2 linked regions of the Coturnix japonica genome follow. The protein of the gene in region 1 binds, or shares a complex with, the protein of each later gene. Links are inferred from orthologs where the notes say so. Each region holds a gene or a part of one and is shown in the gene's direction. Other genes may lie near its edges.

The links.
Region 2: the proteins of PTPN22 (region 1) and PSTPIP1 are in contact, whole or in part, in a crystal structure (PDB 7AAM), measured with the Homo sapiens proteins. The link is inferred for Coturnix japonica from reciprocal best matches to the Homo sapiens genes PTPN22 and PSTPIP1. Residues at the interface, in NP_057051.4 of Homo sapiens: Ser793, Lys794, Pro795, Gly797, Pro798, Arg799, Asn800, Pro801, Pro802, Trp805, Asn806; in NP_003969.2 of Homo sapiens: Thr225, Arg228, Asn229, Trp232, Asn236, Ser239, Met240, Cys242, Val243, Asp246.

The regions. Positions count from the first base shown.
Region 1 is NC_029541.1:3,781,620-3,787,979, reverse strand, and holds the end of PTPN22 (tyrosine-protein phosphatase non-receptor type 22), read left to right. Parts: intron 1-62; coding exon 63-129; intron 130-353; coding exon 354-431; intron 432-959; coding exon 960-1,052; intron 1,053-1,586; coding exon 1,587-1,663; intron 1,664-1,996; coding exon 1,997-2,721; intron 2,722-2,869; coding exon 2,870-2,953; intron 2,954-3,037; coding exon 3,038-3,168; intron 3,169-3,254; coding exon 3,255-3,282; intron 3,283-3,426; coding exon 3,427-3,507; intron 3,508-3,605; coding exon 3,606-3,712; intron 3,713-3,819; coding exon 3,820-3,850; intron 3,851-3,998; coding exon 3,999-4,076; intron 4,077-4,232; coding exon 4,233-4,297; 3' UTR 4,298-4,964; downstream 4,965-6,360. Other genes in the region: RSBN1 (lysine-specific demethylase 9), read left to right, coding at 5,286-5,739. UniProt on the Homo sapiens protein: Acts as a negative regulator of T-cell receptor (TCR) signaling by direct dephosphorylation of the Src family kinases LCK and FYN, ITAMs of the TCRz/CD3 complex, as well as ZAP70, VAV, VCP and other key signaling molecules.
Region 2 is NC_029525.1:2,413,182-2,419,541, reverse strand, and holds part of PSTPIP1 (proline-serine-threonine phosphatase-interacting protein 1), read left to right. Parts: intron 1-1,588; coding exon 1,589-1,670; intron 1,671-3,301; coding exon 3,302-3,372; intron 3,373-5,275; coding exon 5,276-5,373; intron 5,374-6,360. UniProt on the Homo sapiens protein: Involved in regulation of the actin cytoskeleton. May regulate WAS actin-bundling activity. Bridges the interaction between ABL1 and PTPN18 leading to ABL1 dephosphorylation.

The DNA.
Region 1 (6,360 bases):
GGAGAATATAGCCTGCCCATCTCTGATCTCTGCTAGCAACCCTTCTGTGACTCTTGTTGCAGTGCTGGCTGCGGGAGAACAGGAGTTGTTTGTGCCATTGACTACACCTGGAAGCTGCTTAAGGATGGGGTAGGTGTCAGCCCCACCACGTGTGCTCACATACATTGCATCTGTGCAGGCAGGTTGCAGACCTTCCTGCTCCCGCTGCTCTTGGCTTGGACTTCAGCTTCCAGGTCTTGGGTTGGCACTGGCCTTCAGTCTTCAATACGAGTTGACTGTCTGTATGTGTCTCTCCACACTTTACAGAGTCCTGCTTTCATTTTTAAGTTTTAATAACTTCTCTTTCTTGCAAGATTGTTCCAGTGAACTTCAGTATATTCAGCCTGATCCAGGAGATGCGCACACAAAGGCCTTCGATAGTGCAGACCAAGGTAAATGCTGGCTACTGGAATACCACCAGAACTGAAACCTCAGCACCTCCCCAGGAGGGCTCACAGTAAGGGAGCACAGAATGGCTGCAGGGCTGGGAACTGAGGGTGCAGTTGTTCCGTAAGGTCCCTTTTCTGAGCAGAGGAATGATTTTGCAGAAACGAATTTCTGACCACTTCTCTGTAGGCAGCTGTGATAGTTTAATGCTTGCAGAGCCATTTTTTGAACCCTTAATGCTGTGAAACAAACGGCCATCTAGGAAATAAAGTGGAAACTCTTCTCAACTGAGAGCGATTGAAGAGGAAGCTCAGTGCAGAACAGAGCTGTGTGAGCAGCTAACAGAAAAAAACCAAATGCTTTGGTCTCAACCCCGTGGAAACTGCAGCTTCTATTTCTTCTGAGAACTTGTCCTGCCACCAGACCACAAAGTGGCAGCTTCTCACAGGGGCTGATGTTTGATTTGGGTGATAGGTGACCAGGGGTGACTTGTATTGTATTGGTTTTCACGTCTCTTTATTTGTTGAGTGCAGGAGCAGTACAAGCTGGTTTACAATGCTGTCATTGAGCTCTTCAAAAGACAGATTGAAGCATTGGATGCTCAGGAAGATTCTGCTTCTTCACAGGTAAAAGCCACTAGGACAAACACGCAGCCTCTTGCGGCCTGAGGCACAGCAGGTTTAACCTCCTATTGCAGAATGGAATACATCACATTTTGCCCTATTTATTCATAATTCTATTAGAACAGAAGCCTCCAATTCACTGAGGTGTTTATGTGGCCCCTGGTTCCTCACCTGCCATTTCATCTTGTGAAAAGCCATGTCAAAGTATTTCAAATCTCATGCACTTCTGAGGGAGAATGTGAAGTTACGTAAACAGGAACAGCCCCAACACCAACAGCTTCTCCTTATTCTCTGGCTGCAGACACAAGCGTTACGTTGCCTCTGTAGCTGTCTGCAGTCTTGTAGAAATGAAGAAGTTAAGAATTGCCACTCTTAAGTAAAGGCTGAAAAGTGCCAAATTGACGTTTCCAAACTGGTGTTTGTCATTCCCAAACTCTGTTAATCATTACAAATAGTTGGCAGAAGTTCTGTCTCCTGAAATAGCCCGTTTGTGCTCTTTGCATTCTTTTTCTACACTCTCTCGCTTTCTTCCATCAGGTTCTAACAAGGCATCCTGTACCCAAGCCACTGCTGACCCCTGTGGAAGATATTTATTCTCTGAGTTTGCTGACCTGGTAAGGTCACCACCCAAGTGTCCCTTGTATTTTCAGTTACCTCTATTATTTCAGGAAGATGCACTTTTCCTGTGTATCTTGTGGGATCATAGAATCACCATGGTTGGAAAACACCACTAGGACTGCTCTAGCTGCCTAAAGGGTCCTCCTGTGTTCCCCATTTAATGGTAGCCAAACAGGGCTTCCCTGTAGCTCCATGTTGAACTGGGCAGGCTCTGTGTTCCCAGAGGACTGATCTGCCCTTATAAGCAATGCTCCGGGGCCTTGTTAATGGGCTAACAGATCCCTGAGTGCTTGATGCCTCTGACTTCACGCTGCCATGCTTTGTTGCAGCTTGGGACAAGAGGACCAAGATGTGCACCAATATATTCCTCCATTGGTACAAAATGAAGCACCGCTGACATCCCTGTCTGCCACAGCAGCACGGGGCAGCTCTGGGGACAGAGGCCCTTCCATCAGACCAGCGGTCTCTGTTGGCACTCTGAACATCAGCAGCACCAGACATGCAGCTGCTGTCAAGATGTGGAGTGCAGGAGAAGCCCTTCAGAAGCACCGCAGTGTGCAGCTCAGCAGCAGGTCCTCTGAGCAGCTGCTGCTGGACCAGGAGCTGCAGGGAACAGGCAGGAGAGGGGCCCACGGCAAAGTACCTCTGGCACGGACCACATCGATACCTTTTGTGCTGCCACAGCAAGGAGAAATCTGGGCTTGTGATGGAGGGATTGCAAAGCCCACCTGGAGTTCTCAGTCACCAAATACCTGCTGCTCAGGCTTCCAGGTGAAGGAGCAGGATGTATTTCTCCCTGTTGAGCTGAACCACTCAAGCCAAGTAGCAGACTGTCCCCCTGGCCACAGGAACTGCAGGCAATGTCCCTACCCGTACTGTTGTTCAGCAGAAGACCCCTACTTCTCTTCACTCTCCCCAGATGAGCCACCATCCCCAGAGCCATCTGTTGGGCAGGATGTGCAGGGCCCTCCTTGCACAGTGCCCACCTCCCCACCGCTCCGGCCTGTGTCCCACCACACTGCCCAGCCAAGCACTGGGAGGACATTGTCACTGAGTAAGTGGAAGTGCTTGGGGGGGACCTCAGGAGGTTTCATCCCACCTTCCATCAGGATTTGGTGCACAAGTCTTACTATTCATATGCCAGAGGTTCTGTTCTCATCTGTGTGTGCCATGCAGTAACCTGCTCACATCTCCTCCTTTAGACATCCTGCCCCAGACAGATGATGATGATCCTCCGCCCCTGCCAGAGCGAACTCCTGAGTCCTTTATTGTGGCCAATGAATCAGGTAAGTGCAGTTAGCAGTAAGTGCAGGGACTGACATCTGCTCTGAGGGCCCTTCATGGGGGATCAGAGCAGTGTTTGTTTCCAGGAGAACTTCCTCTGGCCACCTCAGATTTTCAGCTTCCAGCTAGACATGAAAATACTGGAACCTCTTTGGAGCAGAGCAGTGTGTCTCCCTCAGTGACGTTTAATGACTCAATGAGACTGAGACCAAGTAAGGTAAATTAGTGCAGTTTTATCTCTTCTCCAGCACTATCACTGTGTCAATTTCCTTATTATATACTATCCTTGTTTTTTGTTTCCAGAGTTTGAAGCTTCGGAGCCCACGCTCAGGTAAAGTCACATCCTCTTACTGCACGTTATATGTTTCCTTTAACACAATGGAGGATACAGGGTAGAGTTCTGCAGTCCTTGCATTGAACAGATATATGCATTTTCAAAGGCAGATACACAAACCTCCTGTCTTTGCTTTCCCAGAGACAAACCTGGATTGCTCCGATTCTCCTCCCCCTCTTCCTGAAAGAACCCCGGAGTCGTTCGTTCTCGCTGATGAAGAAAGTAAGTGAGGACTTCTTTCAAAAAGCAGCAATAAAGCACTGAGAGAAGGGAGAGGATTCGTGAATGACCACAGAAAATGTTCTGCTTTATATTCCCAGGTCTGCAGCTTCCCACAAGAAGTTCTACAGCGAGTTCTTGGGACTTGAGTAATAGAGCTTCTGAAACATCATCAAAAGAGCCTGCAAAATGCTTCAGGAGAAGCAAGGTAAGCAAACAACCAGAGCATTTAGAGCAAGGAAACAAGTCTAGTGATGATGCCGAGCTGTCGAATCGTAGACACAACCTTTGTACTTATCTTTTTTTTCCTTGCAGAGTTTGAAAATACTGAAAAACGTGAGAAAAAGTAAGTGCTTTGTGTGCACTGCAGCTGTATGTGTGGCAGCGTGTTCTCCTGTAGGGCTGCAAAAATCCTTTTCATTTCATTTTCATTCAAAATTCTTCATGGAGTTACGAAGATCACTAACTGTGTCAGTGCAACTCTGTGTTTGCAGGTGTCTGTAGCCCATCTTCACTGATAAAACCATCGGAATCTGCACCTTCACATCAGCTGAGCTCTTTCTTTAGTTTTGGTACGTATTCATGATGAAAACAGGCTGTTGCTTCAAGTAAACTACATCATAAATCATGGGATGACAAGCCTTTAAAAAGAAAACAAAACATTATTTCAGGAAATCACACAGTCAATATTTATAGCATGATTAATTTGGTGCATTTTTTCCCCCTAGGCTTTGCAAGTCGATTTATAAAACCAAAAGGCCCAAGAAACCCACCACCAGCATGGAATATTTAGGTGAACCTGATCGATTTGGTGTCACAGAGGAGTGAATATCTCCCGATACGCTGCGATGGCTCATGTCAATAAGGTTCCCATCAGAATGAATACATGTAATACGTTGGATATTTGAGGCACTATTTGCACATCCTTCAACCAAAGCTCTGAAGAACAGAAGGACGCATAGCCACCAGCTGAGCTCTCAATTCACAACAGGGCGGATATCAGGCCCAGGAGCTGATTTTATCCTAACTAATGATCAGATTTGTTGCATCAGGGATTGTATTGACTTTACAAGGGCAGGTTTGAGCTTTGTGAAGGAAAACAGCGATTCCAGCAATGCTCAATGGTGTGGAGGCTCAATGAGGGGCCATGGCCGCCATGTTGCTGTGCCTGTGTTCCACCCCCTGCACTAACAGGGAATCCCCATCTCAAACTGTCCATTTTCCCTCATATTTCACATTTTTTCCCTCATTTGAACCACATTTCTTTGTTATTTCTGCTTAACAAACACCCTGCAGGCCTGGCCCTCACTGAAACCCCCCACAACCATCTGTGAGGCAGGAACACTGAAGGCCATATATCTAAACTGTGGGACGGTGTATTTAATCTAGATGGTGTTTTACGATGTGTGACAAAGGCCGTGTAAATAAATAAAAGTTTATTTATAATAATATAAAATATAATACGTATAATTATATATATAACTGTTATATAATTATATATATAATTATTAAATAAATTAAATAAATATATAATTATATATATATATAAGTATATATATATATATATATAATTTTATTTTTTAAAAATATATTATATATATGTATATATATAAAGGGCCGGAATTCATCTGGAACCGCGGCCCTGAGAGACCGTTGTCTTCCCGCCCTTTTCACTGACGTAACGCAGGGCGCGTCACTGCACCACGCATGCGCCCTCGGCCGGACTACACTTCCCGTCTCCCCTCCTCAAACTACAACTCCTAGGTGGCTCTGCGCGACGCATGCGCAGTGCCGTCTGGCGCTCGGGCCATTTAAATGTGTGTGAGGCAGGCAGTGAAATGGCCGCGCAGGTCGCTGCGGTTCGCGCCGTATCCCGGGCCCCGGAGGAGCCGCCCCCGCTGCCCTCAGGGGAAAGGCCCGGGCGGCCTCGGGGCGGCGGGCGGCGGCGGCGGGCGGCTCCCGGCGATACGGCTGGAGGCAAACGGGCCCGGCTGAACCAAGCGCTGCTGGCTGGGCCCGGCCCGGCGGAGCCGCTGCCCCCGGCCGCTCTGCCCGGCCTGCCCGCCGCCGCCGCCGGGCTGTTCGCCTTCTCCTCGCTCAGTCTACCGCCGCCGCCCGCCGCGCTCGAGGAGCGCCGACACCATCACCACCGGCATCGCCCCGCCGTGCTGCAGCCGCAGAAGGCGAGGCGGGGCAGCCCTGCGGACGGGGCGGCCGGGCGGCCCAGCAAGCGAGGTGAGACGGGAGCGGCCGCCGCTCGCGCTCCCTGCCCGGCCTCGGGTCCCCCCACAACCTCCGAGCCCGGGGCGCTGCGCTCGGCCTCTTTACCCTCTTACCTTACCTTCCTTACCCTGTTCCTTACTGCAAAGACATGGAGATTTTGGAAAGGGCCACGAAGATGATCAGGGGGCTGGAGCACCTCCCCTATGAGGACACGCTGAGGGAGTTGGGTTTGTTCAGCCTGGAGAAGGTTGCGGGGTGACCTCATTGCAGCCTTTCAATACCTGAAGGGAACTTACTCTTCCCTTAAACTCTTGGAAAGGGCTGATAATAGCAGGACACGGGGAAATGGTTTGAAGTTAAAAGAGGGAAGATTTAGGTTGGATGTTAGGGGGAAGTTCTTCACTAGGAGAGTGGTTAGGCCCTGGAACAGGCTGCACAGGGAGGTTGTGGATGCCCCATCCTTGGAGGTGTTCAAGGCCAGGTTGGACGGGGCCATTGGCAACCTGATCTAGTAAAGGTGTATGTTTGGTGGCCCTGCCAGGCAGGGGGGTTGGAACTACATGATCCTTGAGGTCCCTTCCAACCCGGGTCATTCTGTGATTCCTCGGGGGGAAAGGTGGGAGACGAGCTACG
Region 2 (6,360 bases), on another chromosome or scaffold:
GCTACAGTTTATTCCTCTTCTCATAGGGGATTTAAATTTGACTGCTACAAGAGCATTTACCTAGGAAAAGCTGCAGTTCTCCTTTCTGACAGTGAAAATGCACCTTGCAATGGTGTGAAAATTCTGCATACAAAGAACTGTAATTCTCAGCTAGGCTCACTCCCTCTCTCTCTTCCTTATGGGAGATCTCTCATTCTCTGGTCACCCAGGTCATTTTATGCACACAGTTCTTGGCTATGTCAGGACTCATTTCTAATAAGAAAGAGGTGGGAAAAAACACTTGAGAGCTTTATCAAATGCAAAGAAACAATTGATTCTTGGTTTGGTTTCTTTTCGTTGTTGCTTTTTGGTGTTTTTTTCTGCCACCTTCTAGAAGGTGATGTTCTGGAAGTGATGCCCCAGTACCTCTACAGCTCTTGTTAATGAGTTTGCACAGCAAAACCCATGTGTGGTTTTGTATTGTGTAGAGGTAGATCTTTACCCTGACCAACCTTTTGGTTTCTTGATGCTGTCGCTCTCTCTTCTACCTAGTCAAGTCATGAACTACAGGCTAAAAACTACAGCAGGAGAAAGTCTGGAAGGGTAAGAAACACAGACTCTTAAAATGGTAAAAAAAAAGAATAATCCTTTAATACCATGAGTCTCTGTTGTAGGAGTTCTTTGCACTCACTATTGTATGTGCCTGCTCTGTTTATGGTCTTGGCTAGTCCAGCATGAAAACATCAACACAACCTTTAGTCTAAGTTCAAAATCTTACTTAATTACCTGGTATCAGAACTGAGATAATAGGTTATCAGGGCTTCCAAGTCAGATTTGACTCATATTTGTTTGACTTTCACACTGAGAAGGTTTCTGACTACCAGCTCTAAGCTACTGCACTGGCAGCTGTAAGATGAAAAATAAATCCATCTGTAACTATTTCATCTGTAAAGCTAGATTTGTAAATAAGCTCAATTTCACCCTCAACCACACCATAGGGGAGAGGGAAGGGACTGTAACATAACTGCGTTCAAGAGAAGAAAAACAATCAATTGCTGAGTAAAAAGCAAATCAGCTCTCAGGAGGTGGAGGTGAAGATACAAAAGGTAAGAAGCCACACACAGGCACAGAGCAGGACATTTCTCACTATTGCTGCTCCCAAAGACTTTCAGAAATTTCCCCAGCTCCAACAGAAATTCTCAGCTCAACATGTTATGGAAAAAACAAAACAAAACAAAACATTGCCACCAACTGCATCAGGAGCACAGTCACAGGCTCACAGTGACCATGCTCTGCTCCCCTTAAAGTAGGGGCTTCAAGAAAACAGGGGAAACAATCATGGGCTAAACTACATTCTGAATTAGGATCTCTCACTGTTGTTGCAATGGCTCCTCACGACTTTGACTGTGCTTGTGCCAGGACAAGAACGCCCTTCCACCAACAAGGCATCTGCACACAAGCACTTGAAAGGCTTTTGTCAAGCACCTACATCCCCCTGAGATGCCCCAAACATGTTACTATTCTGCTATTCTGTTGGCTGCACTCTGATTGAGAGAAATAGGTTTTGCCTGATTGAACATCTCCTTTTTCTTTTGTTGCCCTACTGCAGGTGCAATAGGATATGAGAACTACTACGACAGAGAACCAAACAGAAGCAACAGCCCAACCCAGACCTGTGGGATGATGAAGAGGTAAGTGATGAATTTTCATTCCCAGACGTACTACTTCTCAGTGTATGATGATGGCACAGGGGTTGGAACTAGATGATCTTTAAGATCCCTTTCAACCTAAGCCATTCTGTGAGTCTATGTTTCTGTGACAGTAAACGGGACCTGGATAGTTACTTCTTCTTTCACTGTAGCAAGAGACAGCTGCATAGAAATAAAACTAACTCGAGAGAAGAAGTAAACCCATTAAAGCTGGAGTCAGAGCCATTTTGCCTTGGCCTAGTGGGAAGAGAGACAAGAGGACAAGTTCATAAAACAGTCTGCTGGCAATAGAGAGCATTCACACTTATTTCCTCTTTCCTAGTGAGTCATGGCACACAGCATCAAAAGCACTCTGTGCAAGGGAGGGCAAAGGTGAGCCTTGCTGGGAGCCAGGGCTGGGGAGAGCTGTCCTTTTCAGCAATGCCTCCTGGCTTAGTGCATTGCGATGCCCAGCTGGGAACAACAAAGAGCTGCTGTCTCTTTCTAGACCAAAAGAAAAAATACTTAGTGGAATAACTGTGATGATAAGGGAGGTGCTTTTCTTTTTCTAATCCATTTAAGCTGGTAAATATAGTAATATGAATGCAGTTATATCAGCGGAACAGCACGGTAGAGCTATTGGTTTAAATATTTTATACTAAAATGGCTAATTCATGGCAGAAATGGCATCATATTTAAAAGCAGGAGAGCTTTGTAGTTTGGCAAGTCTTATTTTATGGCAAAGACAAAGAGGGGGCTGAGATCTCCCATTTAAAACGTGGGCCAGGCTTGTTAGCGAGCTGATAAGGTTTATACACAATATTTGGTTCCCTGTTGGAAACAAGATTTTATATAATAATGAATCCTAACATTGCAGCCTCTGCAATTACAGAAGACAATTGTATGGCCATTTAGAATACAGCTGTGCCCAGCAGGAGCAAACAGCCTTCAGAGGCTCAGCCTCAGTTTTTGAGAACTCATTGAGCTTAGAAATCCATTTTCCTGAATCACTGACCATTCACCAGCTGAAAAATCAAACCCTCGATGTACATCTTAAGCACTCCATACTACTGCTACCTACACTTATATCCTAAACCATCTTCTCGCTTGGCCTGGTCACCAGTTCCCAGCCAGAATCCAGCTGTGATATAGAAAACAACTAGGTGAGATTAAAAAATAAATAAATAAAGGAAACAAAAGTATTTCACTTAAATTCACTATTTCTAGAAAGGTATGTTAGAAAGGCTTTGTATTTTGAATTGCATTGGTTTTCCCTAAAGGAATTGTATTCTTTTGTAAACAACTGAGAATTCTCATCGTATCGATAGAATGAGATGATTGGAATTCTGTTTCATGAGTCTCTGGATCCACAACACAATATTGTGTGATGCATTTAGTGCATCAATTTAGCGATGACCAGCAGTTCATCTGGTTCGGTTATTTTCTAAGGTTTTTTTTTTCTTAGATTTTACTTTAACTGAAGGTAAGAGTATCTATAGATAAAGGAAAGCAGATGACCATGGGAAGGGATGACATCCATGTAAGGTCAAGGGGGAAGGTTAAGTCTGACAGCTGAGTCTTGTAAGAAATGCCCTGCTCACTCATTTTGTCATTGACTTCTCTTGGTTCTGCAGATTCTCTGGACTGTTGCATGGAAGCAGCAAAAACAACACTGAAAGCGTCATTCCTTCAGCCCCTCCTTTAGGTATGCCTCACCAGGGAGTAAATTCACCAGATGTGTTTAACATCACTTGCTAAGTCCAGCTTTAACACAGAGCAGAACTACAGCACACGTTCACATGATGTCAGGCAAGAGAACGAGCAGATCGAAAACAAATTCAGCTCAGATTTCCCAGTCTGAAGTACTAAATAATCTATATAACCTTAGGGCCATAAGAACCTCAAGACCTCTATCTGGGTAAGGGCACACTGTGCTTTCAGACCAATGCAGTTTTAGTAAAGATAATAGTATTCTCCTTACGTTGGATATGCTACCTCTAAAAAGCACAAGGGAATCCCTGAAGTCTTTAACACACCTGCCTCATGCCTTATGAATACAAATATTCATCTCATTTCACACTTGGACTGCATTATCACAACCCGTGCACTCAGGCATTTATCAGTAGGGCATTTAAAACAGTATTTTGATCATGCAGAAAGCAGCAGCTTACAGCATTTTTATTGATTTAAACCCGAAACATTTGAACTGAGATTGCTGCCTACAGGAAATCAAAAAGTTCCTTTAAAACAGCTTTTAAACATACTCAGGTCAATTTCCTTTGCAAGGCCTGCCTTGCCTGCTTGGATGCCCAGTAATGAGGCTGCAGCTACCCCACTTGCTGCATTTAGTGCTCAGGAAGCACAGTCTCTCTGGAGCTATCAGGCACCAGCTGGACCTGCCAGGCCCCAGCTGCCTAACTCAGCATGCAGCAGCATCCACATACACACAGCCTGAAGGCATTTGGTCTCTTGCAGAGCTGTGTAACGACTACATACAGGAAAAACTTACCAGAAATAGACAACAATATTACATCAAATGCTGGATTTAACAGCAGATCTCGACTTTATCCAAGTAAACAGCATCTGTGGTGGTACCTTATGCTCAAGCCTGGTATAATAATCTCCCTCTAACTGCAGAAAAAGCCCTGCTGGCTGTCCATCTCTCATTCAGACATAGTGTGGAGCCCAAGTAGACCTTGCTGCTCATTTAGCACACCACAGTCATCACATTTTGGAAACCACTTAAGGCAGTGTTTTCACCTGGGCTGACATACCAGGTTGTGAGCATGTAATTAGAGCCTGCTCTCCCCTTCATCTTTAGCCAGCCCTGAAGGGTTGGACTGCTCACACCACGGCTGCCCTTCTCTTCCCCACACAGCCCCACTGAAAGCAAAGATGTGCTTGGGAAGTACACGAGAGCAGCTCTAGCCTGGACTACTGTGTCAGCACAACAGCATCCACAGCAGCAAGGCTTTGGTACTTCCATTTTACCACCGTGGTTACGCCATGAGCACTAGAACAGCACAAGAGACCCAGGTGGTTCTTTTCAATAGGGCTAGCTCTGTCTCTTCCTGAATCACAGTTTTCCTACATAATGACAAGCCGGTTTAAAATATCCTCCAGCAAAGTCCCATCTGTGACAAACAGCTAAATGGAAACTATGTGAACTAATGGAAAATGTCTGATGACCCACCACACCAGCACGGTATTTTCCACTTTTCTTAAAGGAAAAACCTCTGCATGAATCACTGAACTGCCAGAATCTCACATCTCCAGTAGCAAACAGTTTACACCAGTTTACTCACAGTACTTCCTTCTCTGCACTTCTGTGGTCGTGCTTTAGCAGGGTAAACATCTTTCCCAACCTGGATGAAGCTAATGCTCCTGACTTCCCAGAAAGCTCAATGGGGGCACTGTCCCCCAATCAATGGGACACAGTTTTTGTGCAAGAATTTACCTACAGTTCACAGCAGCTTTTCTATACACGTACACCTCCAGACAGAGAGAGAACAGAGACCCTTGTATTTGTGAACTCTTGCGTAAGATCCCATGCATTTATAAGCAACTGAACTATTTGTTTCTGTTTTTCCTTCCCCCCCCCCAATCAGAGAAAGCAGATGGGGTCTACGCATCCATTTTTGTAAATGAACATGAAAGAACTACATCGTCACAGGACTACAGAGTACTGTACGACTACACAGCCCAGGTAAACAAAGACTTCAAACTAAATATTGCACACAGTGTCAGATTTAAAACTGAATGTTGATCTAAACATCTTGAAAGCATCAATTGTGTGAAGGAGTTTTTAAGCTTCCTTTCCTTTTTCAGAGGAGGACGCTTAGAGACTTATTGGCCAGTTGTTGGCACAGATCACTGGACTGTGCTCTCCCCAAGATGAAACAATTACATTCTTTGCAAGTAATTATGCTTGCCTAAATTGGTGCTGAGTTATTTCAACCTCCTAAAGAGTCATGGAAAACTATTTTGGTGATGATGGCCAAATATGCAACACTGAGCATTCTGAACTTAAGTTTCCTGTGAAACGTCCACCCTGGGAAAGAAAGTAGGTAGAGATTTCTCTAATAAACTCTACCGAAGCTTTATAGCAGATCTCAGACTATGTGACAGATGCTTGTCTAAGAACCCTTCTCCACATGATCTCACTTATCGCCTGGAGAGTCCTGCTCCAGTTTAACACACCAGCTTTAACTGATGTCTTCTCCATGCTGGGGAGGACTGAATCCCCAAATTATAGTGTATCCCTGTACTTCAGTGTTGCAAGTTGCAGAATGGACCCAGCCTATGTACCAAGAGTGTTATAAACCACAACCAGCATCCTTAACCTGGATATTAAACCTCACTGGCTTCCAACCTCTCTCAGCATAACACCATTAGTAAGATCACATTAGAGGGCAAACCACTGCACTAAGCATTAAGAACACAGACTCCTCACATGCAGATTTCAAGATGTCTGAAAGAGAGATGACATCATTATTCCTATTATACAGATTACCTTCTAAAACACCAAAAAGGGGGAAAAAAAGGATCAAGTCACAGTGGCTCAGGCCCTTGATGCTTCTAGCGAATAGCTTATTTCACAGCAGCCACAGGTTTCAAAGAATGGCATAAATAAAACATACAGCACATAGGACACCTGCCCCCGCTTTCCACCCCACGATTGTTATAACTTCTT